Diceros bicornis minor: one gene and its partners. The protein of the gene in region 2 binds, or shares a complex with, the protein of the main gene of each other region. Links are inferred from orthologs where the notes say so. Each region holds a gene or a part of one and is shown on either strand. Other genes may lie near its edges.

Region 1 (7,957 bases), on a different chromosome or scaffold from region 2:
AGCAGGAGCAGGCTCCCCCGCCCCACCTCTGAGGGGAGGCCTGAAAATACACAGAGCAGGGAGGGAGAGAGGGAGGCCCGGCCTCCTGTGTTCTCTTCTCTTGGGTGACTCACTCCTGCCCAGAGGGCAGGGGTCACCTGAGGGCCAGCAAGGCGAACCCATGAATCAGGGGCCTAGCCCAGCCTTGGAGGATCCCTGCTCCTCCTCTCCCACCACGAAGCAGGAGACTCCAGGTCCAGAGGGCCCACCTCCCAGAATCCCCCTCTTCCCAGAGCGGCCAGGGACCTAGACCCCCACGTCCGGAGATTTCAATGCTTTGGGCGTTTCCGGAATCTGGACAGGATATCCGTTTGCTGGACACAGAACAGATAGGCACACGTCGGGACAGACAGAGGGACAGGGTAGCAGGCCCAAGCAGGCACGAGAAAAAGATGATCAGGAGGGGAGAAGAGAGCAAGCCAGAGATGGGAAAGGGGGCCAGGGTGCGGGTCCAGCCCGGCTCCAGGAATCACAGCCTCGGTCCAGGTCATGTCTCGTACCCACCAAGTGCATGCATGTGCCGGGGGAATCCAGCACAGCACCCCCCAGGGCCGAGGCAGACGCAGGGACCCCGGCCCTCACCAGCCCCAAGGTCTGACCTTGCGTGATCGGCAACACCAGATACGCCCAGCTCCTCGGCAAGGCTGGCAGGCCATCAGCAGGACTGAGGCGGGGGACAGGGGGTCACGGGGGAGACACAGAGGGGGTGGAGGCAGGTGCAGAAGGAGACGAGAACCCAGTTACATGGCAACCACACGACGGAGGGACGGTGAGGCACTATCAGGGGCACTACAGGCACAGGACACGTCTCAGACTGGGGCAATGAACCACAGAAGGTCAGAAGTCACCCTGGCCCTGCTTGTCACAGATGGGGAAGGTGAGTCCAGGGCTGTGATGTCCACGAGATGGCACAGGGAGAGCCTGGCTGGGCGGCAGGTCGGTGACAGTCACCTGTGCCTCTGTGTGTTTGTGTGTGCGTGGGGGTGACCCAGTCCTGTCACCCATGCCCAGGTAGGATGCCAGGTAGCAGAAAATCCCCAGTCTGTTGACCTGGACACTCCCCACCTGGGACAAGGTTCCACCTGGCAGCCCGGAGGATGGCCGTGTGGGTCCTCGTCCCCCGACCTAATGAGGTGACTCGGGCACTTCTGCCAACAGGTGCCAATCTGGTGGCGTCGGGACCACCGTAAAGCTCAGTCCGGAGGTGGGGGCGCTGGAGCTCTGTTGTGCGGGGGAGGGGCACGGGCCGGCGTCCTTCTCCCCTCCCGGGGCCCCGCGCCAGGCACCTGCCCCAGGTGCAGCGGCACCTGCCGGGAACCAGGACCTGGACGCCGGGGAAGGGGGCGAGTGGCGGGGCGACAGGCACGGGACGCACAGCCAGCCGCAGACACCCCAAGTCGAGCCTCCGCGCGCCCCCTCTAATTCCCAGGGAGGGGCGGAGTTTGGGGTGCGGCGGGACCTCCCGCTCCCCCCCGTGCGGACCTCCACCTGCCGCGCAGGGGGCCCCGCGGGCCCCGCCGTGCCCGCCCAGGGAGGGGGCGCCGGGCGCTCGGGAGACCCCGCCCGGGCCCGGGGTCCCGGCAGCGCGCGGGCGGGGGGCCCGGCGCGGGCGGCCGCAGGTGCGCCTACCTGCACGGCATCGCTGGCCATGTCCTCGCGCCTCCCGCCAGGGGTCCCCGCGCGGAGGGAGGGCGCAGGAGCGCGCGTGCGCCGCGCGCGGCGGGGAGGGCGGGCGCGGCTCGAGCCCCCGCGCGGCCCGCTCCGGCCTGCTCGGCTCCGGCCCCGCCTGGCCTGGCCGCCGCGTCCGCGCGCCGCGCCCTCCGGCCCCAGCGGCCGCCGGGCCCGGTCACGTGACCGCGAGGTCGGCGCCCGGGGAGGGGGCGGGGCGAGGGGGCGCGGCTCCCGGCGGCCCCCGGGGCTGCGGGGTCCCGCCTGCAGGGCCCCCCGCCCTGGCCTCTTCCTGCGTCCGCGGGGGTCCCCTGTTTGAGCGCGCGGGAACCCCGAGAGAGGAGTGAGCCACGTTAAGGCGGGGAGCGGCGGAGGCTTTGGGGCCTCCCGGGACCCCTCAAAAAGCAAAAACGACTCACCCCCCGCGTTTGCCAGTTCAGGCGTCCTGGGAAGGACGCATTCACGGCACGGGAGCTTCCCCACTGCCTGGAGACAAGCTCTGGGCAGATCGGGGTTCAAATGCCGGCGCCCCATGCCTTGGGGGAGCCCCAAACCCTACGAGCGCCTCATCTGGGAAACAGGGAGGCTTTTCCCGCCTACCCCTCGGGTGTGGATGAAAGTAAATGAGACTGCACGCAAGTGCTGAGAACACGGTAAGCGCTCGAGAGACGTCAGCTGCTGTCCTTTCTAACGTTATTGTCGTTATGAAAGGGGGTTCGCATCCCAGCTGCGTCGCTGACTCGCGGTGGGCCCTGTGGCTGAGCCGCAGTTCTCCCCGCTGTAAGATGGGGAGCAGCCTCTTCTTCGGGGCTGCTGCATGCAGGCGGCGCTCCATAAATGCAGACTCGTGCCCACGCGGAGGCGGAGGGTGGAGGCCTCCGAGGAGCTTCTCCAGGGTCTCCGGGGCGTGCAGCTGGCTCGTGGCCGACCCCGATCCCTTAGAAACGCGGGGACTGAGCCAAACCGCGGTCCCGGGGCGCAGGGCGGGGAGCGCGCCCTGGCGGCGGCGCCTGCGCACTGGCGCCCTCCAGGGACCCGGCCGCGCGCGCAGGGCTGAGGCACCTTGGTTACCTGCGGCCCTGCGCCCTTTGCGTCGTCCCAGAGACCAGGGCGCGACGTTCTCTCTTTCCCCTCTTCCTTTGGGCGACTCTTCGGAGGGGGGCGGTTAGCAGAGAAAGAGAGAGAAGAAGGGGAGGAGAAATTATGCCGATGCAGAGTCCACCCTCTTCCCACGCCTTCCGCGGCCTCCGCCGGGACCACTCTCCACCGTCGCTCGCCTGGACCCATGCAGGCGCCTCCTCCTAGGTCTTTCGGCTCCTCCCTCGATCTCGCAGTCTGCCTGCCTCACAACAGCCCAAGGGCGCCTGTGAACGCCTGAGTCAGGTCACGCCCCTCCTCTGCTCAGATGCCCCATGGCTCCCACCTTCCTCAGAGTAAAAGCCCAAGTCCTCCCCACAGCCCACAAGGCGCTGCACGATCTGTCCCCTTCACCTGCCCTGTCTCCCCACCTCCCCCCTCGCCCTTGCTCACTCCCTCCAGCCACATCAGCCTCCTGGCTGTTCCTCGAATATTTATCCACTGAATTAAATAACCCTTTGAGCTAATTCTCTCGCTCCCGATTTTTGAGCCTTTTCCTGGGGTTCAGAGAGAAGCCCCTCACCCCAATTATGGAGCCGGGATGTTAATGGCCCTTGCCCGGAGGAACATGGTACCTTCCTCTAATTCTCCAGCCCACCCATTTTACGGATGGGAGGATGTGGCAGAGGAAGGCTCCCAGGTGGCCCAGGGCCTGGGCCACCTTGTCCAGAGACTGGCCTTCTGCTGTCTGCCAGGCTCCAGGCTGCCTCCCCGGATGGAGCTGGGGAACCCTGCCAAATTCTCACTCCAACCTTCCCGCATCCGTTTACTCAGTGAATATTTATCGAGGCCCACTGGGGACTTTGGTGGCACTGGAAACAGAGTCGAGTTTGAAACTTGGAGGCCAAGGACTAATTGTACAATTGTCCAATTTCAATCAAATATGATAACTGCCCCAGCACCTCCCTGCAGCTGCGCTGGCCCCTCTCTAATCCATTCTGGGGCCTTGGAAACCCTAAAGCACAGCCCACCCCCTGCCTCTACCTGCTGGAAGACCTGACCCTGGCTCTCTGGAGCTCTTAGGAAAGACTTCCCACCCCTCACAAGCTGGTCCTGTCAGGCCTCTGCCCACCTGTCCAGCTGCATTTCCCTCTGCTCCCTTCTTCCCCATCCAGCAACGCTGGCCTTCCCTCTGTTCCTCAAGTGTTCTCACCTTACTTCCAACCACAGGGCCTTTGCACTGGCTATTCCTTGGTCTGGAATGCCCCTCCATCACATCTCTCCAAAGTTGGCCTCTTCTGATCATTTAGGTCTCTGTTTAAATGTCATGTCCTCTGAGAGACTTTCCCAGGGAATCCCTATGTTGTGTTGTATCTGGCCCATGGCCCTGTTTTTTTATTTTAAATGTCACTCCTCTCTGAAATTGCCCAGTGTCTGGCCTGTGCTCGCTCCATCTTTGTAGAATGAATGAGTGAACACAGTTTGAGGTGTCAGGAGAAAGGTATCCCAGACCCATGGAGGCCTTGAGGAGGCAGCCGCGCCCCTGTGGAGGAGGCAGAAGGGCTGGCACTGAGGTTGAGTTGTGAAGGACAAATTAGGAATTTGCAAAGTGGATAAAGACGAAAAGGGTGTCTAGTAGAAGGAACAGCAGAAGCAAAGACCTGCAGGTGGGTGAGGGAGAAGCCGGCATGTCCTGATGCCTCTGCTCTCCTCTCCCACCCCACTGCCCTCGCTCACTCCACTCGGGCCACGCGCCCTCCTCGCTGCTCCTCAAATGTGCCGATGCCATTCCCACCTCAAGGCCTTTGCACGGGCTGTTCCCTCTGCTTGCAAGGCTTCTCCTTCTCATCTTGGCATTCTCTCTTCCTTACTTCATTTCCGTCTTTGCTCAGATGTCACCTTCTTAGAGAAGTCTTCCTTGACTGCATCTCCACCTCAAACAAGCGCCCACCCCTCCCTCCCAAAGTCTACCCCTCACATAGTTTGATTTTTCTTTCTTGCAAATTTTAATAAATTTGACTCTACTATTTTTCTTTCTTGTCTGATTCCACCAGAAGGATGTCAGCTCCCTGAGGGCAGGGATCACTGTCTTGTTCACTGCTGGGTCCCCGGCTCCTAGAACAGGATCTAGCATATAGAAGGTGCTCAAGGGCCGGCCCGTGGCTCAGCGGTTAAGTGCGCGCGCTCCGCTGCTGGCGGCCCGGGTTCGGACCCCGGGCGCGCACCAACCACCACTTCTCTGGCCATGCTGAGGCCGGGTCCCACATACAGCAACTAGAAGGATGTGCAACCAGGACATACAACTGTCTACTGGGGCTTTGGGGGGAAAAAAGGAGGAGATTGGCAATAGATGTTAGCTCAGAGCCGGTCTTCCTCAGCAAAAAGAGGAGGATTAGCATGGATGTTAGCTCAGGGCTGATCCTTCTCACCAAAAAAAGAAAAAAAGAAGGTGCTCAATAGAGAGCTGCTGGATGAAGGAACTTGCTGGCGTTCTTACTGCTGATCGCCTGGAGTCGGGGCAGGCTCCAGAGGCTGTGGGTGGTGGGGCTGGAGGGGCCGGGCCCCTCCTGGAGTTCAGGCGTGACCCTGAGGACTGTGGAGCTGCTGACAGATTCTTGGCAGGGGAGGGACTGAATGAGGATTGTGCTTCTCAAAAGATAAGGAAGGCTCTTTGCAAACCAAGTCTCCCCCAGTAGGGGCCAGAGAAAGAGCTGGAAGTAGATTTCTCTGACACCAGAAGAGCTGAATGTATCAACAAGGCTAATCTCCAAAACATTGTGTTGAAGGGAGATAAAACAGCAAGTAGAAAAAATGTCACAGTTTCATACACTTTAGAGCAATTACTAAAAAACAGAAAGTGAAACTATGTATCTAGTTAGCACACCGGTCTGGAGCAGTGGGCTGGTAGTGTGCCTGGCACCCCAGCTGAGGGGGCAGGCCACCTGGGTTCCCATCCTGATGCCCAGGCACACTGACAGGGATACCCTGCGCGAGTCACTTCACTGCCCTGTGCCTCAGTTTCTTCATCTGTAAAACAGGGTGATAGTAGTGGTGCCTACCTCATAGAGTTGCTGGGAGCTTAAATGAAATAATTCTTGTAAAGCATAGAATAGGGGAGCAGTAATTGTTTGGTAGCATTATTTTTATTTAGGATGTTGTTTCTGTAGTGGGGGAGGGGAATGGGGTTGGGGAGGTGAACACAGGTGACTCCCACTTTGTAAAGTGTTATGTCTTTTATTTTTAATTATTATTTTGATGGAGATGTAACTTACACATGGTGAAGTACGCAGATCTTTTGGGGTGTGCTCCATGAACTTTTATATATGTATACACCCCTGCAGCCAGCACCCAGTCCACTCCCCCATGCATAAGTGTTGTGCCCTCTGCAACCTCCTTCTGCAGATTCTATCATCATAGATTAATTTTGTTTGTTCTTGAACTTCATACCATGTGGAATCATTTTATGATTCTTTTTTTTTTTTAATAATTTTATTTATCTTTTCCCCCAAAGCCCCAGCAGATAGCCGCATGTCATAGCTGCACCTCCCTCCAGCCGCTGTACGTGGGACACGGCCCCAGCACGGCCAGAGAAGCGGCGCGTCGGCGCGCACCCGGGACCCGACCCCGGGCCGCCAGCAGCGGAGCGCGCGCACTCAACAGCTAAGCCACGGGGCCGGCCCTTTATGATTCTTTTATGTCCAGATTCTTTCACTCAACATGTTTTGTTTTCTATTGAAATTCACATACCATAAAATTCACTTTTCTTTTTTTTTTTTCTTTTTCTGCTGAGGAAGGTTGTCCCTAAGCTAACATCCGTGCCCATCTTCCTCTATTTTGTATGTGGGGCACCGCCACAGTATGGCTTGATGAGCGGTGTGTATGTCCACGCCCAGGATCCAAACCTGCGAACCCCAGGCTGCCAAAGCGGAGAGCTCGAACTTAACTGCTACGCCACCCGGCCAGCCCCTCACTCTTTTTTGTAAGGGTGCAGTCCAGTGATTTTTAGTATCTTCACAAAGAACACGATGTTTTTGAGATCCATCTGTCATGTTGTGTGCATCAATCTTTTATTGCTTTTCCTTTCTAGTGGTGTTCCACGGTGCGGATGGATCATAGTTTCTTTACCCATTCACTTGTTGATGTACATTTGGGTTGTTTCTGGTTTGGGGCTTTTATGCATAAAGAATGTTCATTGCTTGTATCTTTTTGTGGGCAAAATGTGTTTCATCAACTATTAGATCTCTACCTAGGAGGGTTGCTTAGTCATGACGCAGGTGCCTTTAACCTAATGGGTCTCATCGAGGGCAATTTTGTCCCCTCCCGCAGGAGGGAGACTAGCAGTGTCTGGAGACATTTTTTGTTGTCATGACTGGTAGGAGGGGGGTGGGTGCTGCTGGTGTCTCGAGGCCAGGCATGCTGCTCAGCATCCTACAATGCACGGGACAGCCCCACCCCAGAGAACGAGTGGCCCACACGGCAGCAGTGCCCAGGTTGCAAAACCCGGGTTCACCTTATTGCAAACTGCCAAATCATATTCCAAAGTGATTCCTCCTGTTACATGCGCGCCAGCAGATGAGGAGAGATCTGGTTGCTCCAAGGCCTGCTTAGTCCTTGGTGCCGTCAGTCTTTTTCTTTTTAGGCATTTGGGTGGATGTGTTTAAAGTCATTTATAGCTTAAAATAATTCTGAAGTGAATCAAGCCAGTATGACAAATGTTAACATGTGTTCATCTTGGGTGGTGGATGTACTTTAGGAGGCTCTGATCTGTTCTGGATTTAAAATTGGTATATATATATATATTTTTAAATAGTAGAAGCGCCCCCTGGCCACACAGATGGTGGGTGTGCTGGGGTGTTTTCCTGTTTTCCCAGACTTCTCAACTGGACTCAACTGGCTTTGCGGTCTCCTCCATAACTCACTCAGATGATCTAATTCATCCGAGTGCGCCCCCACCTGCCTTCCTGGGGCGCCCGCCCTCTCCCCGGGGACTGGTTCTCTGCAGGCTTCCAAGTTCCCTGGCTTTGGCCTCTATCTCCACCTGCAGGGGATGTGGCCCAGTATAGTGGAGGGAGATGGCCTGGGCTGGAATCCTGCCCCCTTGGGCCTGGGACTGACCCCTGTGGACATCAGGTCACCCACCGGCAATGGAGATGCTAACGCACAGGCCTCACCC
Region 2 (7,989 bases):
TTTTTTTAAACAGATCCTTTTCTTATTACAGTAATCACTAGATTGCTTATCATCCACCTAAAGTTCAATTCGAGGCTTTAATTTCCTCAATTGCGACATGGGGTTAAGGTGTCAAATGCGTGGCTGCTTTGTTCTCACAGAATCTTCTTGTGTGTTGGGATTATTTAACTGCTATTAGGGCATAATCGATGCTTCAGCTGTCTGTAGGAGGGTCGGACACAAAAGCACCCATGTATCAGTCAAACCAATCTAAGCTTTCGAATTTATAGTTCTCTTTCCTTAACAGGTACAGTTTTCTGGTCACAGCTGGATCTCTGCTTATTTGCGTGTAGTGGGGCAAGGTTAACAGCCTCAAAAGAAGTAACCTAAATCTTCCTGGCAGTAAGACCAAAAGGTGCCTTAGCTGTTCCTATTACATTTAGATAGACAAGACACCCTCCCTGTCAATCTGTCCTGGGTAGAATAAAATGGAAAACAAATGATCCAAATTGATTTTTATTTCCAACATCTCTGGATACAGATATAAGGCTATCTTATTCCAAGAAGTACTATATCACCACAAACACTGTTTTTCTGGTTTTCAAAAAAAAATCATTGATTCTCTCCTCTCTTTTCTCTGAATCTATCAATTTCTAAAATCAACTGTCCATTTTTCTCTTTCACTCCACACTAATAGCTTCACTCTATGTTGACCTCTTTTCACAAAATATCATTGTAATTTCTCTAGTGTTTTCTTTGATGACTACATTATTCACTCCACTCCCCTCATAACTCCTGTTTATAATTTTGTAACCCTATCAAAGTCAGTTTTGCTGCTCATTCCAGATAGGCACACAGCCAATATATTGCCAATAACACTCACTCTTGTGCTAACTTAAAATGTACAGTGCAACTTGCCAAGTCTCCTTATTTGGCAAGAAGGTCCCTTAGTTCCCAAGATCTTTGACCATCCATTTTTAGATCCAAGTCCTCGTGCTTAATATTTGGATATTTCCCTCTCTCTCTTTTTAATGTGTCCTTACGTGTTCCCTAAAGAATAAGAAAAAGTAATCAATCATCTATTTGCTTTCCTAGACAAGAAAAAATGTCCTTGCCATTGCATTTTGGTCATTTACTCTGGAATTATTACCACTAAAACGTTTTATTTAAACAATAATATTTTCCACTTAAAAAAACTCCCAAAATAATCTCAAAAAAGTTATAGTAGGAATTAAACTGTGAAAGCTTAAAATAAACAGTACACATTGCTCTGAAAGACCATTTTTCTTTATCTTAATTCTCTCTTTCCAAACAAACTAAATTCATACTCATTTACAATCTCTCAAATCTCTCACTATTGTAGCAAGAATTTAAAACAATGGCTCTTCAAATGACTAAAACCATAATTAAAATGCAGCCGTCACATTTTTTTTTGAAAATCAAAAAACGACATCAAATTTCACTGTGGAGATGGGCCTACTACAAAGAAGACATTAACTGTCTTGAATCACTTGTTTTCGTCTTGATAACGTGCTTGTAGGTTTGGATCCACTGAATCCTGGCTGTTCACTTCCCCTGAGGTGGTCAGGAAAGCAAGAAGGCTCTCCTAAAATGGCTTTAGGGTTAAAATATGACTATACTTTAACAACCATCTTAGCTCAAATATCCTCGAATTAATTCTGTAAGTCGATTCCAATACACCATTATTAACGAGAGAGCTGCTTACTGTAACATCATTGGAACGGGCCACTACACAGTACTGCTTTCACTACTAAAGAAACTAACAAAAATAGTAATTAAGTTCCCCATAAACAGTGCTTATGCAAGATTTCGAGGCGCATCAGAAACACACATTTTCAACAATCTAACAAGGATTGCCCCATCTTTTTAGGCAATTCGATATCGTCTCGCCAGTTCTGCAGTAAAGTTTTTCCGCAAGCCGTCAGGAGCAAGCGAGGCGTGGCGGCGGCCTCAGCGTTCACCTCCGGGCCTGGTGCAGGGCTCCGAGCCCGCGCACCGGGGGACGCCACACGGTCGGCAAAGGGGACCCCCTGGGCTCCCGGGGAAGGAACAGGGGGACGCTCGAGGGCGCGGGCTCCGCGCTGCCCCAGGCAGGGCAGGCAGCGGCCGCTCTGGACGGGAGACCCGGCTCCCGGCCCGGTGGAAAGCAGAAGTTAGTGGTTTCCACTCGCAAGCACAGACCTCTGCTGGGAAGCGGCCGGCACCCTGCCCTGATTTGGAAGACTCGCGTTGCGCCTCCCGAGAGGTGCGCGGGGCCCACTGCGAGGCCGGCGCTCCGGCGCTGCCCGCCGGGGGTCGCGCGCTCGGCCGGCGGGGGCCCCGCGTTCGGGGAGGGGAAGCGGCGCCGCGCGGCCCGGGAGGCGCCCACATCCGCGCCGCGCGCCCGGGGCCCAGAAGCCGGAGACGCGCCGGGCTGCGCCCCGCTCTTCCGGGCGCCAACTCTGCGTGGGACTGGCCCCAACTGCCCCGAGCCGCTCCGGGCCGGGCCGCGGCTGAGGTCCGGCGCGGAACTCCGCGGGAGCCCGGAACGCTCGCTCCGGCCGCCGCCGCCCGACGGGCCCCGGGTCGAGGGGGGTGCCCGGTGGGGCTCCCTCCCGCAGGCCGGCCGGGCTCCCGGGCCCCGACACCGGCAGGGCCTCGGTCCCGAGACGCCGGACGACTCGCGAGCGCGGCGGGCCTCCCTCCCTCCCTCCCCTCCCTCCGCGGCCTCGGGCCTGGCCCCTTACCTGGCTCTCGGGCCGGGCGCGAGCAGCAGCCGGGGCGCCGAGGCCCCACGCGCGGCGAGGGCAGGGACGGCGGCCGGGGGTCGAGAGGACGGCGGCCCGCGCGGCTCCCACGCTTCCGCCGAGTCAGGAGTTGAACATTCCGCCTCTCCGCCCCGCGCCAATGAGGAAGACAGTCACGGCAACAGCACCACCTACCTCCGAGCGCGGAACGGCTGGGCCTCCCTGCCCGCGCCCAGCACGCCCGCGGGCCACGCCGCAGCGCAGACCTGCCGGCCAGCGGGCGAGGGCAAGGCGCCCGGGCCTCCCGGCCTGCGCCCCCGAGGGGCACCGTGCGCCCCAGCGCCCTGGAACCCACCCAGGCTGCCGGCCGCCGCCCGGGGCGCTCAGCGGGGCGCGCCTGTCCTCAAACGGCACCTGCCCTCTCGCGGAGGGCACGGGGAGAGGGCGGTACGCCTCTGCCCTTTGTACCTTCACATCTTTTTAACAACACCTATTCCGTCAACTCATCCTTATCGACATTTACTGTGAATTAGGCACTGAGGATACAAAGAGATGGGAGGCTGCTGCATGCCCTATGGGAGTTTATCTAGTTGGGAAGGTGACAGAGTGTAAAGCTATTTCTGGGGAGACAGGGCTGAAGGCTGCCTCAATGGAACCATCAGTAGATACCTCTGGAATTTTGAGGCAGGGTCATGGTCTGTTGCCCTGGTTGGTAACGTGAACAAAGCCGAATTCAGACGAGGAGACTAGAATCCATTCCAGGTGTGAGCAAAAGGTGGGAATGGGCACTGGCAAGAAGAGTAATTGTTGATTGGGGAGGATGGGTCTGTGGAGGAAAAATGAGATGAGGTTACAAGAGTATGGGCAGTATTATCCAGGGCTTTTGAGTGTGAATTTTATCATCTGGGGACACTGGGGAACTGTGGAAAGTTAGAATCAAAGGGGTGAAATAGGTGTCTGTGTTTTTGTTCTCATGGTTATTTAGAGAGAGAGCAGTCCACAGCGGTTGCAGGATGGGTTGTGAGGGCAAAACTGGGAAGCAGCATGAGTGGCAGATATTGTTCACTACCCGGTTATGGGATTGTGAGGACTTGTGTTAGAGTGTACAAAATGGAATTAGAAAAGAAGAAATAGAATTCAGAGACATGTTTCAGGAAGAGGCCACAGAAATTGGTGACCCACTAAATGTGGAAGAGAACAAGTCAGAGATGATGCCAAGATTTCAGACCTGGGTGACTGGAAGAACGATGGTGTCATTGACAGAAATAGGGGTATGTTAAGAAGAAGCTGGCTTCCTGTTGAGTTGGAGGTCATGGGAGGAGAAACAGGTAGAGATGCAGCAGTTGAAATGTGAAACTGAGATTCAGAAAAGAGGTCAGGAGGGAAATATAAAATCTGTAAATCATTCATATAGTTAAAGATATGAAAGTGGAGGGATGGGTGAAGATAGGTTAAATAAAAACAACTGAGTCTGTGATTTAGATTAATTACTGAATTTTCCCTTTGATAAGGACTAGGAATTTTAGCATTGGTGGATTCTATTTTGGGAACTGAGAAATTAGGATTGATGAAAACTGTCATGCTAAAAAGAAATTCCTGATAGAGGTACTCGAATAATTCTAAAAACCATTTAACCATGGGGGCCGGCCCCGGGGGCATAGCGGTTAAGTGCGCGCACACGGCTTTCGGAGGCCAGGGTTTGCAGGTTCGGATCCTGGGCGCACACAGACGCACTGCTTGTCAAGCCATGCTGTGGCCGCCTGGCATATAAAGTAGAGGAAGATGGGCACGGATGTTCGCTCAGGGCTAATCTTCCTCACACACACACACAAAAAAGCATTTAGCCATTAAAAGGATAACTAAGGCTCTTTAGCATAGACCCAGGCATAAGGCAACTCCAGTCATTTCGCGTCACCTTCAAAGGCACTAGATTGTGATGGAAAGGACACTGGACTGGGAGTCAGAGGACCTGGCTTCTAGCCTTAGTCTTGTATAGGTTTACAAATGTAAATCGCAATAGCGAAAGAGACCTAGTCAAACCTCTCTTATCAAACTTTCCTATTCCTTTACTTCAAATGTCTCCATGCTAAAAATAGATGTACTCTTAGCAGGGTGGCTTTGGAGTCCTTAGCACCCTCTCATCCAAGAACACCCTCCAAAATAAACATGCAATGTAAGTTAAAACTTAAAGTTATAGCAAATACAGGGTAAAGAAAAGGTCTAGCCCCCCATTCAATCAGACTGTTTGTCCCTAAGCTCTCTTAAATTGAAATTCTGGAACTGTCAGCTATTAGTGGATCAGAGAAATGCAGTCATAAATTCTATTAAGGACAGAAGGAAAGGCAACTTAAAAGGAAGAGAGCATTCTGAGTATCCTTCCCTTCTCATATGGTGATAAAAACTATGATGCAAGCTGGCACCCAGGAGCATTTGCTCTAGCCATCTCAGTTCTCCGTCTCTGATATTGTGAGTAGTCTGTGTCTGGATCATAGCTAAGAATTAACCAGCTTTACACAAAGTTTAGTGCTTTACCTCCTGCACAACGCCAGACATCAGAAAATCTGGGATGCGGTACCAGCCCTATCCCTGAGCAGCTGTCACTTAGTTGGGACCATACTGCCTGATGGTCATGTGTGTGATAACAGCCTACTTACCTGAGTCTTGAGTCCTATGCACTGCACACTCTTTGCTATTGTTTGCTGTGCTAGTCTTCTTTAAAATCCTAGATCTAAAATTTGAGTGAATCATAACGGAGTTTTTCATACCCTTTCAGCATTGAGCCTTGCCATCTCTCCTGTTTGCCGTTGGCCTACTTTATTGCAAGAAACTCATATGCTCCTTCCCAAAAGATACGATAATTGATATGATTTTCTGGCAAGATCCTAGAGTTATTATTAAATGGCATTATTATATGAAGAGCTGGTAATTGCTTTGAATGTGAACACTGGGAACCAGCATGGATTCATTGAAATCAAGACCTACCAGAGAAACAGTTTTCTCTTCTGGGATCATGGAGGACAGTGAGGACTTCTGTCAGTGAAACATGACAAAGTTTCTCATGATGACTTTATAAATCAGAAAGAGATTTTTTTTAATTGATGTTTTAATGGTTTCTAACATTGTGAAATTTTGGGTTGTACATTTTTGTTTGTCCATCACCACATATATGACTCCCTTCACCCCTTGTGCCCACCCCCGACCCCCACTGCCCTGGTAACCACAGTCCAGTTTTCTCTGTCCATGTGTTGGTTTATATTCCACATATGAGTGAGATCATACAGTGTTTGTCTTTCTCTTTCAGAAAGAGATTTTAACTGATGACAATACAATACAGTAAATTGCTGTTAGATTGAAAACAGCCTAGAAGGTGTACCCCCAAAATGCTGCTGTACACTTTGGGTGCATTGTTCCCTTAGAGAAGGGTTTCTAATGGTATGTTGCTGGGCTCTCTCCTCTAGTCTGCCCTGTTCAACATTTCTACCACTTGAATGACGACCTTCAGATGGCATGCGTATCTTATTATGGAATGACATGTATTTGGAAAGAATATCTAACATATTACGTATGAAAGCCTCATATCAAAACTCAAAAACCTTTATTGAGACCTCACTGCCTACTAAATAAAGTCCAAGATCCTTAGGACACATTCAAAACCCTCCATTATCCAATCCAAATTTTCCTCCCCAATATTACCTCCCATCTTCATGGACCTCATGCTGCCCTCCTCCCAGCACCTCCAACTCCTTCTTGGGATTTTCCTACAACAGTTCTTATTCTCATCTGGCCACCAAGAATACTCTACTCTTCCTCCATCACAGGTGTGGCAGTGGCAGATTCTATTCGAAGAGAACATTACTGAAATCTAAGGGAAACATAAAATGTTAAGAAAATAGTCAAGTTTCTGAAATTGAGATTTCTACTTCAACAGATCCAATAAATACAGATGAGTTTTCATTCCCAGATAACTGTATCTTAGACTCAGGTGAGCTGGTAAAACATTATAGATACGTTACTTAGTTTCTTAGAGTCTCCAGAGCTTCCAGGAGACATATCTTGCTGTTTTCCTGGATAAACCAAATTCTCAGACCCAAACTTCCAGACGTTCTAAGAAGGCCAATGATATCATCCCGTATGACTTTCAGAATATTACCAATTTCTTGGATTTAGGCATATGCAATTAGGAAGGAGAACTCTTCTATTTGTTGATATCTGGAAAAGCAAGAATTATATTTCATAAGGTAATTTTCAGTTCCATTTAATAATTGCTTATAAACAATCAAATGACATCAACCATCTTTTATACAAAATTTTCAGGTATCTGTAGATTTTTCATGGCTCCTTTTCATTACAAACACCATTAGATGATACCAATCATGTGTCTTCACTAGTCATTCCTTTCTCTTCAACATGCATTTGTGTTTTTGTTTTGTTTTTTACTGATACGCCTGGACTCTGTTTTCTTCATTTTGCTTGCCTCCAAAAAGTCTAGGACTACGTGATTTAGAGCTTCTGGTCTGCCTAGAGAGAGGATAGAAGAGTAAAGAAATGACTACTTCCCAGTAGCTGGCCCAGGACCTCTCAAGAGTGGATTAACCAGCTTATTATAATCAGAAAATCCTGATCAAATTTCAAAGTCACTTTCCATCCACACTTCTTTTGTATTATTCTTTCTCAAGTTGAAATTTTTCCAGTGAATATTTTTATAAGTTCTACTTGGTTTTTTTTTTTTTTACACCATCATTGGCTTTTCCTTAACTTTTTAAGGTCCATTTGTATTAAGCCCCTGTCCTCATTGTTGTTTGTAACACCTTCCAATTTAGTATCATCTGCAAATTTCATTAACATGGTATTTACTCCCTCTTCCAGATCATTAATAAATGCTATTTCTTATGTATTAAATTTTGCGGTCGAATAGATTTAATTTGCTGTTGTAATTTCAATGCATGTTTTCTAAAGATACAATGCAGTTAAGAATGGTCTTAACATAGGCTTAAATCCACACCCAGTTTATAGTTATTTTACTATTATGCAATCCATTTGTGTTCTCTAATCAGCAGTTGTGAGCTCCATTGAAGCAATAATCGATTGATTTTCTCTTCCCTCTTTTTCAATACAGTCATCATCTTGGCTTTAAATGCACAGCAAAAGCAGAATTAGAACTATTGTTGTACTCTAATCCACAGCTATTTATAAAAGAAAATTAAGTCTTTTTTCTCAATGGATAGTCTTCCACTGATATAAGAAATATTCTACACTAAAAATT
Region 3 (7,095 bases), on a different chromosome or scaffold from region 2:
CAAAGACGGCATGTGGGCGAGGAGGCCGGGGAAACCCGCCGGGCTCTGGGGCCTGCGGCCTTGTGCACTCACGGAAAACTCCACGGGCCCATGGCCCCGGACGGGACGGGCAGGGCCCCTGCTGCCAGGCAGGAAGCTCAAAGGTAAAGTGCCTTAAGGTCAGGTGCCAACCACGCCCGGCTTTGTTCAAATTCCTCTGAGAAGGCGGAGAGAGCACGAGGCCGGGGCCCAGGCCAGGGTGGGGAGGACAAAGATGAGCCTTGGCTCTGTGGACTCGGTCCCACCACTGCCTCTGTCTGACCTCGGTTTTGTCATCTGTCAAATGGGTCAGACCGAAACAAGTATGACATGTGCCAACCGTACAGGGCTGTGCACCCAAGAGGCATCACCTCTGGCTCAGTCCATCCTCCAGGTCCGGCAGGGCCTGGAGGGACACTGACTGGACCGAGGGGTAATAGGGTGCAGGGGAGTGTCCCATCCATCCAACTCAAGTACCCAGCCCAGGAATGGGACACAGAGGAGCACTGAGGAGACCTCCGGAGACACACAGCCCTGGATGGAACCCTAGCTCCATCTGTCACAGCTGTGTGACCTCAGGCACGGCACTGAACGCCTCTGAGCCAGTTTCCTCATCGTAAATGGGGCTGCAAGGAATAATCAGGAGAGCGCACGACACATGGAAAACAACTTGGTAAGTGAGAGGTCTTGGGATTCTGGGCAAGGGGACATTGTGGTTCCCCACCACATCCTTCCGCAGACCACAAAGAGGCTGAGAGGGTCCCTGGGTCCTGGCGAGGCCCCTGACCCTCCATCCAGCCCACCCAATTTCCAGTTTGTGGGTCATGTGTTACCTGGACCCACAAACTGGAAATTCATCTTGGTCCTCTCTTTGCAGAGAGGCTCAGAAAGGGCAATGCCAGGACTCAAGTCACAGAGCATACGGGGATCAAGCAGCGTCTCCCCAAAGTGCTTTTTCCCTTCACATCCATGATCACCCTCCCTTCACAACCCTGCAACTTGAACTTTTATTTGGATGAAGCATTCCCTGCCTGGAAGAGCTAAAAGGGCCTTCAAAAACAAACACTGCTTCCAACCTCTTCCTTCCGTCCATGAAAACACTGTGGCCCAGAGAGGCTGAGGGACCTGCCCTAAGTCCCACAGCACTGACCGAGCCACGAGTAAACCCCAAGCTGGAGAGGAGGAGAAGTGTCTGATTTCACAGTTCTGCACAGTGGAGAAGCTTGCGACTTCCCGGTTCCCAGGCTCCACGAGGTCTGCGCAGGACAAGTCCCTCCCCAGCCACCTCCCCCCGTGAGTGCCTCCCAAGTTACTCACGGTGGTTGGGCAATGGTCAGGGATCCGGCCTCCCAGGCCTCCCACTTATGTAAGACATAATTATCCTGCCCACCCGCCGGCCGGCTGGGCTCTGGCCCACAGCCCACAGCAGGAGCAGGGAAGGATCCACACCCTCCCCCGGCCCCCACATGCCCTCCCACTGCCTGGGCGCCTCTAGAGAAAGAGAGGTAGGGACAACCCCTGATTAGGGGCCCACTAAGTGCCAGCTGTTACCTTTCTCCCCCTCACTCTACAGCTGCAACCCAAACAGAGGCAAGACCTTGACCATGCATGGCTGAGGCCTTTCCAGTAAGGAAAATGGTAACAAGAACAAGATGCCTGGTACCTGTCCCTTCCTAAGTACCTACTATGCGCCAGGAGCCATGCTGAGCTCTTCATCTCACCACCCTCGCTTGCTTACAACTCCTTAGTATTCACTACCTCACATCATACTCCAGAAGTCCACAGAAAAGAGGCGTGATTACCCCCACTTCACAGACAGGGAGACTGAGGCCACAGACACTCGTGTCGCTGGGGTGAGGCAGCAGCAGGCTGAGAGAGCCAGGAGGCAGCCCATTCATTGCAGCTATGTCCGGTGTGGAAATCGCTCCCACAACCCAGCCTGCTGTGACTCCGGCAGGCCAAAAACATCCTTTCCTCTTCCTGCAAAAAATCCCCCTCTCACCCTCCAAGTCTCGGCCTCCCCCCTCTGCATGACAAATCCTGCTGCCGCAGCCGCCACCTCACAGAAATTTCCAGGAAGGCCGGCTACTTGGAGAAGACAAGAGCAAGCCCATTGCCCAGCCAGCACCCGGCCTGGCAGTTGGCCCAGGACCCATGGGCAACAGACACAGGCCTGGTAGCAATCAACCCTGGAGACACTGGGGCACAGGAGGGGGTGAGCTCCCCAAGTGCAGAGGGAGGCTTGCAAGTGAAGACAGGAGAAGCTGATGGAGGGGGGCTGTGCATTAGGGTGGGTGAGAGCCAAGAGAGGCCGGGGGCTGCAGGATGGGGTGCAGGCGGGGCCAGGATGGGGCAATGTGGGGCCTGCAAGGATGCAGAGTTGGGGAAGAACAGGGAGTTCTGAGCTGGAGTGTAGCCAGGGCACCCACATGGGGGGGTTACAGTGGGATCCCCAGCCACGGAGCATCACTGGGGCCCGGATGGGGAGTCCGTTAAATCCAGCCCCAGGAGTGAAGGGCGCCGGGTGCAGGATCAGAGTGAATCCCACCTGGGTCCAGCTGAGGGGCCCAGACTGGGAGAGTTCCTGTCCAGGGTGCAGTTAAGGCCTAAATGAGGAGGTCAGAGAGAGGTTCCCGACCCGGAGCGGGGAGATCAGAACGAGATCCTCGCCTGGGTGCGGGCCTGGGTGCAGTCCCCAGGCCTAAGCCGCGGGTCCAGGTGAGGTCCTCGGCTGGGAGCGGCCCCCGAATCGGAAGAGGTTCTGGGCCGCGGCGCTGCCCGGGACCACCCGGAGGCCGGGGTTCGCGGCGCGGGCCCGGCCGGCGCGCCTACCTTTGGCCGCGGGCAGGCCGGCGGGCTGGCTCGAGGCGGGCGACTCCATGGTGCGGGCGGGTCCGCGGCGGCGGGGGCTACTCCAGAGGGCGGCGGGCTCGGCCCGGGCGGAGCGAGCTCATGGCCGCGGGCAGACGGCCCGGGCACGGCGGGCAGAGGCAGCGGAGACGCGCTCCCACGGGCGGCGCCGGGCCGGACTGGGCAGCGCCGCGGGGCCCGGCCGGACGGCGCCGACGCAGGCCCCGCCTCCGGGCGCCCATTGGTCCGCCAGTCTCCGGGCCCGTCCCCCGCCTATCAGACGCCGCCCTGGCCATGCCCGTCAAGCGCGAGCTCCGCCCCCGCGGGCCCGGATCCGGCTCCTCCCGCTGCCTGTCAAGCCCGCCTCCACCCGGGAAACCGGGGCCGGCCGGGCTCCGCCCCTCCCGGGAGAGCCAGGTGCCCCCCGGCCTCCAGCCCCGTGCCCCGCGCCCTCCCTTCGGCCCCGCGCCCCTGCCCGGCCCCGCGCCCCGCGCTCCGCGCCCCTGCCCGGCCCTGCGCCCTGCCTTCGACCCCGCGCCGCGCGCCCCTGTCCGGCCCCCACCCCCGCGCCCTTGTCCGGCCCCCACCCCCGCGCCCTGCGTCAGGCACTGCGCCCCGCGCCCCTGCCCGATCCCGCGCCCCGCCTTCGGCCCCGCGCCCCGCGCCTCCGCGCCCCCCGGTCCCCGGCGCGCAGAGCCCGCGCGAGCCTCGCCGGTGCCTCATCCGGAGAAGCCACAGATCCTCTCGGGTGGCCCCAGGGCCACCCACTGCGAGAAGTGTGTGCAGACGGGGCCTGCGGAGGGGTTAAAAGGGCCCCGCCGGGGTGAGACCTGGGTTCAGACCCCGACTGTCTGCTTGCTAGCGGGATGACCTTGGGCAGGTCAGGTAGCCCCCGGGCCCCCGTTTTCGCCCCTGTAAGAGTGACCATCATAGCCCTACAGCCTGGCGCGCCGGTGAGAAGGGGCCCGGGCTTTCGCGGACACTCGGTAAACGTTTGTTGACTGAATGTCGCAAAGGGCTTAGCACAATGCCCGGCTGTGCGCTTCAGCAAACAGCCAGCGAGCGCCCACCCAGTGTCGGCGCCGCGCTGCGGGTGGTGATACAGTTGTGAACGTGGGGTACCCCGGGAGAAGTCAGTAAAGGTAGTTTTAATGGTTGTGTCGTCACTGCCCTCCGTTCTACCCATGGGGAAACTGAGTCTCGGAGGGAGGAAAATGGTATTTCAATGCATTTTACTCCACTTGGCAAGCCTTGACCAGGGTCTCATCCCGGCTCCCTCCGTAGGTTCTCTCCTTCCCGCGTGGGGTCTCAGTCGGCTCATCCATACAGTGGCCAGACCGGGCCAGGCCTCCAGGGATTTCAGGAGCTACTGACCAATCTGGCAGTGAGACCAGGTGACTCGGTTGGAAAGCCACGGGCTAGTGAGGACAGGAAGCGCCTGGCAAAGGTCAAGGGGTCAGTCCCTCACCTCCAGCAGGCATGAGTGTGTCCTACTCCAGTGCTCACCTGTGGGAAGCAGGTGCAACCACCTGCCAGAAATGCTTAGAGCAGGGGGATGACCTCTGCTTGTGTGTTTATAAAACAGGGGGTTTCCCCGCGGGACCTGCCCACACAGTGATGGGGAGGGCCAGATGAGATAAGAGGGAGACCTCATAATTACCATTATTCTCTTCCTGCATCCCCCGCTCACCCTTTCCAGGCAGTGGGCAGGAAGTCATGAGCTGTGGACTCAGGTATGGGTTCCAGTGCCAACTCTGCCACTGCACAGGGTCACTGAGCAGCTCCCTGCCCGGGTTACTCACCTGGCCCATGGGGACAATGAGGCCTCTCTGAAACTGGTTCATGAGGTCAGGCTTGGCAGTGGCTGGGTCAGGGCCTGGCACTCACTAGGTGCCCAGGAAATGTTTGTAAACACACTGTGGGCCACCTCCTACAGGAAGCCCTTGCAACCTTACCGCTCCTGGGTGTCTGGAGTGGCCCAGAGCACTCTGTACAAAATGGGCCGTGTGACCTTAGGCCAGTCATTTCACCCCAAGACCTGCTGCCCGTCCTTGTGTCAAATGGGCACCCGGCAGCAGCTGCCTCTCTACCAGGACTGCAGGCCTGATCCGGCGAGTGGTCTGGGTTCCGGCCCCCGCCAACCTCGGGGACTTCTGCTCCTCCCATGCTCCCCTCGTCCTCTCTGCTCCTCACTATGTTCAAGAGTCTTAGTGCTGCCCATTGGACATACCAATACTGGTCCTGCCTCAGGGCCTTTGCCCTTGCTGTTCCCTCTGCCTGGAACATCTTCCCCCGCCACCACCGTGATTTCTGGGGCTGGTTCCCTTTCATCCTGAAGGTCTCCTCTTCAGTGAACTCCCCTCTGAGGCCTTTCCGTCAAGCCCCAAATCCATTCTAACTCTCTGCACAGCACTGGTGCCGCCGGTGCCTTTCCTGTTGACTCTGCTTTTAACCCAGCTCTCCCTCTAGACCGGGGGCCCTTCCGGGGCAGGAATCTTGCCAACTCCTTCTCTGCTGCATTCCTGATGCACAGCCCAGGGCCTGGCACATAGTAGGCGCCTAGTAAATATTTGAGGAATGAACAAAGGGAGGACGGAAAGCATGCCACAGACATCTACGAAATGACTCTGGTTCCAGGCCAGCCTCCCAGGCGCCCGCCTGACTCAGACGAGGCCCTCCAGTCGGAGGAGCTGACGGTTAGTCAGGGAGCCTGACAGACAGCCCGAGAGTCACACAACTCCGTGTGGGGTGCTATAAATAGATGCATGAGCAAGAGTCCGAGGAGGGTGCCGGACTCCACCTGGGTGAGGTCAGGGAAGGCTCCTCAGAGGAGGTGACTTTGAGACTGGGCCTTTAAGGACCAGTAGGAGTTGTCAGGCAGAGAAGCAAGCACGAGTCTCCTAGAGAGTGTGGGAGGTGCGCAAGGGGCCCCGCGTGAGGCCGGGCTGGGGGGCAGAGCTGCACTGCTGCGGGCGGGGAGCACCCCCGCAGCGCCTGTTTCTCTTCCCAGCTGGCTGCAGCAACATCTGCCGGCCTCCCTCTGCCTCTAAGGAGCACTGAGAAGCTGGGGACCTCCGCGACCCTCGGAAACCAGAGGGCGTCTGACACGGCCACAACAGGCTGCCTCCAACCCTGACTCCCGGGAGAAAAGTCCCAAACAGGCCCCTCTGTACACTCGGAAACTGCGAGGCACAGCGTGGAAAGGGGCTGGCCAAAGTCGGGATGTGAGTGTGAGCTGGGGCGACAGAGGGCTGGAGAGAGAAGACGGTCTGAGCCCAGGACGGGGGAAGTCCATTCATTCATTCATTCGTTCAACAACCACTCATTGAGCACTCACTGTGTGCCTTGAGCTGAGGGCACAGAGTTGAACAGGACTTGCCCTCGGGAGGTGACGCCTGGTGGGCGAGCCAGACGAGCAGAATGCCTGAGTCAGATTACAGACCGTCAGAGGATCAGTGCATGGGGACAAGGAGGGTCGCAGCAGGGAGTGCGTCTGGAGGTGGGGGCCGTAATTTTAAAGAGGAAGGTCGGGAGAGGCCTCCCTGGAAGGTGACGTGTAACCCAGATCTGAGGAGGTGAAGGAGTCATGAGGATTCTGGGGGAAGAGCATGCCCAGCAGAGGGAACAGCATGTGCAAGGGCCCCGAGGTGGATGGTTTGTAGGTGAGTAAGAGCACAGCTGGAGTAGTGAGAGGTAAGTGGGCCCCTGTTCTCACCTACATGCGCCCCTTGAACCTGCTTGCTCTCACACCCTTGCATGGTCCCACCCCCACGTGCCCCCTTTCACATCTGTGTAAGTCCACATACCCCCAAATAACACGCACACACTCATGAACACAGCAGGGTGCACAAGCACGTGCACACATGTGCACAGGGAGTGGCCACGCCGTCTCAGGCATGTTCACAGCCACGCTCCATGTGCACAGCTGTGCCCACACCGCCCTGTCACCGCAGGCGCCCCCATGGCTTGCTGGCCCACAGCGCCCTCTGGTGACCAGTCCTGCTGGGCGTGAGCTGGTCACTCTGTGGGGCCCTGGGCAGTGCCAGCAACCCTCTCTGCTCCTCCTCCTCCTCCCTGTGCTCCCTGCCCCCAGCTCCTCCACACTGCAGCCAGAGAGAACCTTCCAAAACAGGGCTGGCGAAGCTCCAAACCGGCCAAGGCTCCCCAAGTGAGGAACTTCCCCAGATGTCTCCCCAGTCCAGCCACTCCCAGCCCAAAATTTCCTCC
Region 4 (6,997 bases), on a different chromosome or scaffold from region 2:
ACAATCCATCTCTCACCATTTCCTCAACACTATAAATGCAGAGTTCTACCCAACCAAGCCACTCTGCAAGGCCCTCCCAAAGACTAACAGGCGACTGAGAGGATAAAACCACTGTTTCTATTAACATTCAGTGCAACTAGCACCTTAAAAAAACTTTTGCATTGATTAAGACTCAATTCTCAGAGGGATTCCTTCTTTCTGAAAGAAACAGCTAAACCACTACACTTAGAAGCACCAGACTTTTAAAAATGCTTTTCTAAGTCATATAAAAAGTGTTATCAAATTATCAGTATAGCTACCAGGTAATAGGCCCTACTTAATGTTAGGCCCACTATTAAGTACCTCCATAGTTTCACTTATTCCTAAGAATACTGCAAAGTATATTACTACACCTTACAGAGTAGGAAACCAAAGCTCTGAGAGGATAAGGGACCTGCTCAAGGCTACATAACTAGTCAATGTGGGGATCTGAACTCAAATTTACCTCGCTCCAAAGAATGCACATGCTTCTAAACTGTGCTACCTCCTCACTTCACAACAGAGGAATAGGCAGAGATGTGAGTGGGTTTATTCAGGTTTATTCAGATTCAGATTTATTCAGAAATGATTCTTAATCATTTCACCAAAAAACGGAGAAAATTTCTGAATCAGAACTAGTTTTCAAAATCCACAGTGCACTATTTAAACCTCACTTCTTTTCAACAATTAACAGGATAAGAGAAAGGTTAGGAATCCTTTTCGAAATAAACTAAATTTCATCACATTTCAGCAACTGAAGTGTTATTTTGGACAAGTCCCCAGGGTTAGTGGTTCTATGTGCACTACCACTAGCTAATACAAAGCACTTCACCCAACTCAAACACATACTGGACACCTGCACTGTGTTAAGACCCCTTCCTGGCAAAGAGGGTACAAAGCTAAATAAGAAATAAGGCCCATCACAGCCCTCAAGGAGTTAGACTAGAAGAGAAGTCCCTTTATACTACATATACAGTTACCGTTAGTCAAGCAAATAAATGAACTGTTAGAAATCCTAAAACAAAAGTATGTATAACATGCTATCACAGCTTAGAGAAAGAAAGCAACTGGCCTAGCTGTCACATTATGTTGTAAGTAATACTTGTTTATATTATGTCCCTCCCTGACAACCCCTTCCAACCTGTCAAGCTCCCTCCCCACAATCCACCCACACAGGCACACACAACCACACAACCAGGAAGGAAAGCCCTGAGAGCAAGCACTGTGACTCCTAAAAGTCACCTTGTTGCTGTAGTTCAAAAGTACAATGCTTATGCCATAAGGACATTCTTCTTGAGCTTCATCAGGTGAAGAAAGCTGGTTTTTCAAAGCAAAATGCAGCCAACCAAACCAGAAAAACCCAGGAAAGCTTCTCTACATTACTCACTTAGCATGAGAAATCAATCAAAGCAAATTGACACACAGTATTTCTCAAATTCTTCTTTTTAATTTAGCAGATGGCAAAGGAATATAACAACTGATATTAACACATTCTGGTCATTTTGTTCCACTACAAATGTGACAGACATTTAAGCTACTTCCATCTGGGAGATTTAAACAGAATTATTCTCACATCATAAGCCAAATGAAGCAAATTCAGTAGAATCGATGCACCCAAAACTTGATAAGCCTTGTACTTAATGCAGTCTGCAAACCCCCAAGAGACCACGAAGGAATACAAGAACGGTAACAGTGATTTATCTCAGCTCATCATAACTCCTTTACAAACTTGCAAAAAATGATCTTTCAAAAACGGTAGCATTTGTCCTGATCCGGGAAATCCAACGGTTTAGAAAAACAGTATAAGCTGCTGCTTCTGAAAATAAAAGGGGGGGGGGGGTTATAAGAAAAAAAGGCACACATTTTTTTCCTTTACTTCTATACGCCTGAGGCAATAAACTCCCAAAATAACTTCACCGAAGAGTGTAAAAGCTGAGAATGAACACCAAAATATTGCTCAATCCAACTTTCATTGTGAATTCCTGAGTGCACAGAAAGATCTAGAAACTTAATGTGATGGAGTCATTTTTCTGTAAAAACTGTATCCAAAAACCTGTCTATTCTTTCTTCAGATGAAAAAAAAATTTTGAGGGTTTTCCCCATATTCTTTTAAAACTCTTCACATACTAGTTGACTTTGCAAAAAAAAACAAAAGTGTCAGTAAGCCGTATTTACAAAAAGAATGTTTTGTTTGGTCTCCAAGTACGGCTGCACTTGAACTCAGTAGAGTTGAGCCCACTGCACGGCCCCGGAGCGGGTCCCCTCCGGCTGCACGTCTCCGACCCGCGCGGGTCCCCGGCCGCGCCCCCGAAGGCGGGCGCCCGGCGTGTTTACGGTCCCCGCCGGCCCCGGGGAGCCGCTCCCTCGCGTCCGCAACACTTGTTCGCGGACTCCGTCGGACGGGAGGGGCCCACGGAGGAGCCGACCAGGGAAGCCTGGGGCCGAGGGTTCAGGCCTCGCGTGGCCCGGGGGCGCCTGAAGGGGCACTCACGCCGTGCAAGGCGGCCGCGCCCCCCACCCCGGCGTGGCGGCGGCCCCCAAGTTGGGCTGCGGGAGCCGGGAGGCGCGCGGGGCCCGGGAGCAGACAATGCGTGAGGGTGGCCGCGGAGGGAGGAGGGGGCCGCAGAGCCGGCGGGCGCCCCGCGGCCGCCCATTCATCCCGGACCCCGCCCCCCTCCGGGCCCCCGCCCCGAGGAGCGGCCTTAGGGGGAAGGGCCCGTCCTCTCCGCCCGCGACCCCTCCTCAAACCACAAAACTTCCCCCAACTCCGCCAACTAAGTTGCGCTCTCACCGTGCGGCGCCCGGGGCTCCCCCGCGGGCTGAGCTGGAACAGCTCCGCACCTTCGCCGCAGAGAAAGACAATAGGCGGCCGCTACCCCGGCGGCGGCGGCGGCGGCGGCGGCGGCTCGTAGCTGCGGGAGCAGAAGCGAAGAGCGGGCACGGCGGTCTCGGCGAAGCCCAGGCGCTCCACCGCGGCTGCTCCGGCTCCGCGCTGGCCCTGCACACAGCCCCAGCCCGCCAGCGCATGCGCCGCAAGCAGCTCGGGGCTGGGCGGGGCACCTGGGGAGGGCGGTAACGCCTACGAGCCCTCCCATGAGTAAGCGCGGAGCCAAGGACCACGAGCTGGGATTGCACGGTAGAGCTGCCCATCAAGCTCCGTGAGACCAATGGGAAGGCAGCTGGGCGGAGCGTTCATGTTGCTAAGGAAGGTTGAGGTTGACCGCCGCCGCTGCTGCGCGGCGGCAAAGTGATCAAAGTGGGGTGGCTGGCAGAGGCTGCTCTGGGAAATGCCCACCCACGCTCTCCTTTCCGCCCTATGTCCGGAAACCGCCCTTCCTCTGTGTGCCGGTGCTTACCTGAGCTGTAGCACTTTATACCACACATACCGAAATCATTTACTCTTCTATTTCCCTCCGGTTGGAATCAGAAAGTGGAGTTTAGTCTTCACTGTGTCCAGGGCCTAGGAGAGTCATTGCTAGGTGTTCAACAAGTGTTTTAGATGGGTGGATGGGTGGGTCTATGGCGGCATCAGGATTGTGACAGTGCGTTCTGTGAACTTTTGGCTGCTTGATCGCCACAAAATCGTCCATTCTTCCAGTTGCAAAGGACTTCAGAACTCATCTGGTGGCTTTTGAGAAACAAAATGTGGTCCACTGGTACACGAAGAAACTTCTTCATTTTGATAATTGTGTGTTTATTTTAATGCGTATTAGGGGGAAAATGCCTATCATGTCAAATCATTACTTCGTTAGTTAGCCTAGAGCTAAAATATGCTTTCCTGTAAGTGGATCTGGTTCTCACATATATTTTCTTAATTCACCCTCACAGGTGAAAAAACCAAGGGCAAACATTCCTGGTGCTTCATGTGACATTATTTCCCAATCACCTCGTCATGCTGCTCACTCTCCTCCACATCACTCTAACCTGTCCTGATCAATATTTAAAAGGTGACACAAAGAGAGGCAACTCCTACATCCTAGTCCTGACTCTGCCACCAAGGAGCCCACTATGCTCAGGTCACTCCTCCTCAAAGAACTTCAGTCTCCTGAAAAGCAAGGGGGCTAACCTAAAAATCACTTAAGCCTAATGTGTGATAATCCATGGTCTTCTCTTAGAGCCTGGCTGGTCTGTTACAGAGGCAGCAGCAAATTAGTTACCATGTCATCTTTCTAGTGACTGCTGACAACACCATTGCCTGCTCCCTGCCTCAGCAGAATTTACACCTTTCCAGTAGGCTGCAAAAAGGGTCCAGAGTCCAGCACTTTTCAAACTTTACTGTGCCTACAAATCATCTAGGAGATTTTGTTAAATGTGGATTCTGATTCAGTAGGTCTGGGGTGGGATCTGGGATTCTGCATTTCCAACAAGCTCCCAGGTGATAGTCTGGGACCTCACTTTGAGGAGCAAGGGTCTGCTCTAAATTCCCCAGACAGCTGAGCCCTCCGTCTTCTTTGGGAAATCCTAAGTAGTTATCTGCATGGCTGGCACTTTCTCATCATTCAGATAACAGCTCTAATGTCCCTCCTCAGAGAAAAGGTCTTTGGCTGGCCTATCTAAAATAACCCACTATCATCTAGTCCCTCTCATTCATATTACTGAAATTTTTTCGTAGCATTTATCCCAATCTGAAAGTATCTTGTGTGTGATTATTGGGTATCTCACCCTCTATAATGTAAGCTGAAGTCTGTTTTGTTCACCCCTCTCTCTCCTGCACCTATTATAGTACCTGTAGGAAGGGTAGGAACTCAATAAAAGTTTGCATGAAGTAATTTGTACAGAAGCAGCTGCTGTGAGGTACCCTCAAGCTGAGTGTGCCTGATACTGAAGATTTGTTCTTCCAAGGAACACCAAATATCTCTACCCAGTGTGCCCTATTTCACCAGAAAGAGACTTTGGGTTTAGTAACTCTCTCACTTTCCATGAGTAAGTTTACAAGCCAGGAAATATACCAGGGCCTTACCAAGTAGTGGTAAGATTTTGTATCTCTGAACTATCTCTGAATTATCTCTCCAGTTGACTTATAGCTCTCTAATTGATTTACACAGGTTATAATACCTAAGAATATAGCAAGCCCAAACTCCATTTTACAGAGTCCCTGGAAATGCCAAAGCAAGGAAAAAACAAAATCAACACAGTTGTAAGAATATGAATTTCTCTTGAGACCCATGGTCCCTAAAATGTCCACTTTTGTAAAAGAAGAAGCACTGAACAGACTTATCCCAGGGCTCTCCTTTTGCAGCAGAGGACATTTTACTGTTTTTGTGGTACAAATAGTACCCTGACATTTTTTTGAGGGAACTTCCACTTTCAGCCCCCTGTTTGGGATGAATCGGACTCCACCAGGACCCCAATTCCATGGCTTCAGCATGTGATCACACCTGAGCCAATCAATGCATCCCATCCACAGGCAATAATGATTGATTCAAGGTGGGGCACATGACCCCAAACAGGCCAATCGGGGACAATAGGAGTAAATTCTACCCTCAGTTTGAACTGTCGGGATAGCTGACTTTGTCTTTCTCAACTAGAACCTGGAAGGATAAGCTTGCCAGCCCTTGTCGCCATGAGGAAAGAGTCTCTTCGAATGGAGGCAGCACGATGGAAAAGAAAGAGATGATGAAAAATAATGTCTTAGTGACATTGATCAAACTGCTGAATCTAGCAATGCCTGAAGCTAGAACGACCCATAGACTTTTCCATCATGTGAGCCAATAAGGCTGTCAGAGTGGGGGTTTCCATCACTTGAGTTCTATTTAAATACAACCACCCACGAGCTGATTATTTCCGGTCAATTCCCTGACTGGCTTCTCAATTCAATTAGCAAACAGCTATTGAGAGTTTACTTTGTGCCAGGTCTTAGGCTTGGTCCTGGGATTGGAGAGATGAAGAGCAAGGTTCTTGCCTTTAAGGAACTCACAGCCAAGTGAGGGAAACAGGCGAGCAAACCAGCAAGAAATCGGATGTGTAAATGCCCTTACAGAGGCAAATGCAGGGTGGCAGGGGGCAGAGAGAGAGGAACTTCTACTTGAAGGGTGAAAGTTCAAGGGAGACATCCAGGAGGATGTGACAGATGAGCTATGTCTTGGAAGCCAATCAACCAAGGAAAGAACAGTGGGGTAGTGCAGGAGGCTTGTGTGTGTGTGTGCGGGTAGCTGAGGACATTCCCAGAAAAAGGAAGAGCAAATTCAAAGACATGGAGGTATCAGAAACACAGCACACACAAGAAACTGGAGGGGGAAGGGGTAGGCGGTGAAGCTGAAGGAAGGCAGCGGAGGCCAGGTGATGCTGCCCTGCTAAGGAGTTCCGTCTTTATTCTGAAAGGCCAAGAGAAACCCTCAACAGATTGTAAGCAATGGAACAATGATGAGGACAGATTTCCATCCTAGAAAGATCACGCTGGTACTGTGTGCTTAGGCTGAATTTAAGTAGGAGATGAGGATGAGGATGGGGGACAGGGGAATCTCTAAGAGAAACCTGGCTCCAGGTAGGAGGTTTTGCAGTCCAGAGATAAAGTTTCACTTCCTGTGTGGCAGAGATTACCTGCCTTCCTCAATGTCAAGCCCAGCGCTGTCCAATAGAAATATATGGTGAGCCACACATGTGATTTAAAATTTTCTAGTAGCCACATTCAAAAAGTAAAAAGAAACAGGTAAAATTAATTTTAATGATATTTTATTTCACCAAATATATCCCAAACATTATAATTTCAACATGTAATCCATATAAAAATTTATTAATAAGGTATTTTACATTCTTTTTGTCATACTAAGTCTTCAAAATAATCCAGTGTGTATTTTACACTTATACAGCACATCTCAATTCAGACTAGCCACATTTCAAATGCTCAAAAGCCCCGTGTGGCTGGTGGCTGCTGTACTGGACAGCACAGGTCAAGTTGATTGATTCTGATACAGAGTCTTCATCTGGGAGTTCGTTCCAAACCACAACATGTGCCTGGGGCCGTAGTTCCCGAACCATA

What was found. The genes of interacting proteins can lie anywhere in the genome.
Region 1: MAP3K20 (region 2) and PKN1 share a complex: the UniProt entries of both Homo sapiens proteins name them as parts of the signaling complex. The link is inferred for Diceros bicornis minor from reciprocal best matches to the Homo sapiens genes MAP3K20 and PKN1.
Region 3: MAP3K20 (region 2) and MAP2K3 share a complex: the UniProt entries of both Homo sapiens proteins name them as parts of the signaling complex. The link is inferred for Diceros bicornis minor from reciprocal best matches to the Homo sapiens genes MAP3K20 and MAP2K3.
Region 4: MAP3K20 (region 2) and AKAP13 share a complex: the UniProt entries of both Homo sapiens proteins name them as parts of the signaling complex. The link is inferred for Diceros bicornis minor from reciprocal best matches to the Homo sapiens genes MAP3K20 and AKAP13.

What each region holds. Positions count from the first base shown.
Region 1 is NC_080769.1:3,430,176-3,438,132, forward strand, and holds the start of PKN1 (serine/threonine-protein kinase N1), read right to left. Parts: upstream 3,010-7,957; 5' UTR 2,995-3,009; coding exon 2,779-2,994; intron 1,796-2,778; exon of another isoform or gene 1,690-1,795; coding exon of another isoform or gene 1,669-1,689; intron 1,201-1,668; exon of another isoform or gene 696-1,200; coding exon of another isoform or gene 639-695; intron 1-638. UniProt on the Homo sapiens protein: PKC-related serine/threonine-protein kinase involved in various processes such as regulation of the intermediate filaments of the actin cytoskeleton, cell migration, tumor cell invasion and transcription regulation.
Region 2 is NC_080749.1:54,163,085-54,171,073, reverse strand, and holds the start of MAP3K20 (mitogen-activated protein kinase kinase kinase 20), read right to left. Parts: upstream 3,018-7,989; 5' UTR 2,922-3,017; exon of another isoform or gene 2,727-2,921; intron 1-2,726. UniProt on the Homo sapiens protein: Stress-activated component of a protein kinase signal transduction cascade that promotes programmed cell death in response to various stress, such as ribosomal stress, osmotic shock and ionizing radiation.
Region 3 is NC_080757.1:209,329-216,423, forward strand, and holds the start of MAP2K3 (dual specificity mitogen-activated protein kinase kinase 3), read right to left. Parts: upstream 3,010-7,095; 5' UTR 2,900-3,009; coding exon 2,851-2,899; intron 1-2,850. UniProt on the Homo sapiens protein: Dual specificity kinase. Is activated by cytokines and environmental stress in vivo. Catalyzes the concomitant phosphorylation of a threonine and a tyrosine residue in the MAP kinase p38.
Region 4 is NC_080744.1:89,550,766-89,557,762, reverse strand, and holds the start of AKAP13 (A-kinase anchor protein 13), read right to left. Parts: upstream 3,010-6,997; 5' UTR 2,810-3,009; intron 1-2,809. UniProt on the Homo sapiens protein: Scaffold protein that plays an important role in assembling signaling complexes downstream of several types of G protein-coupled receptors.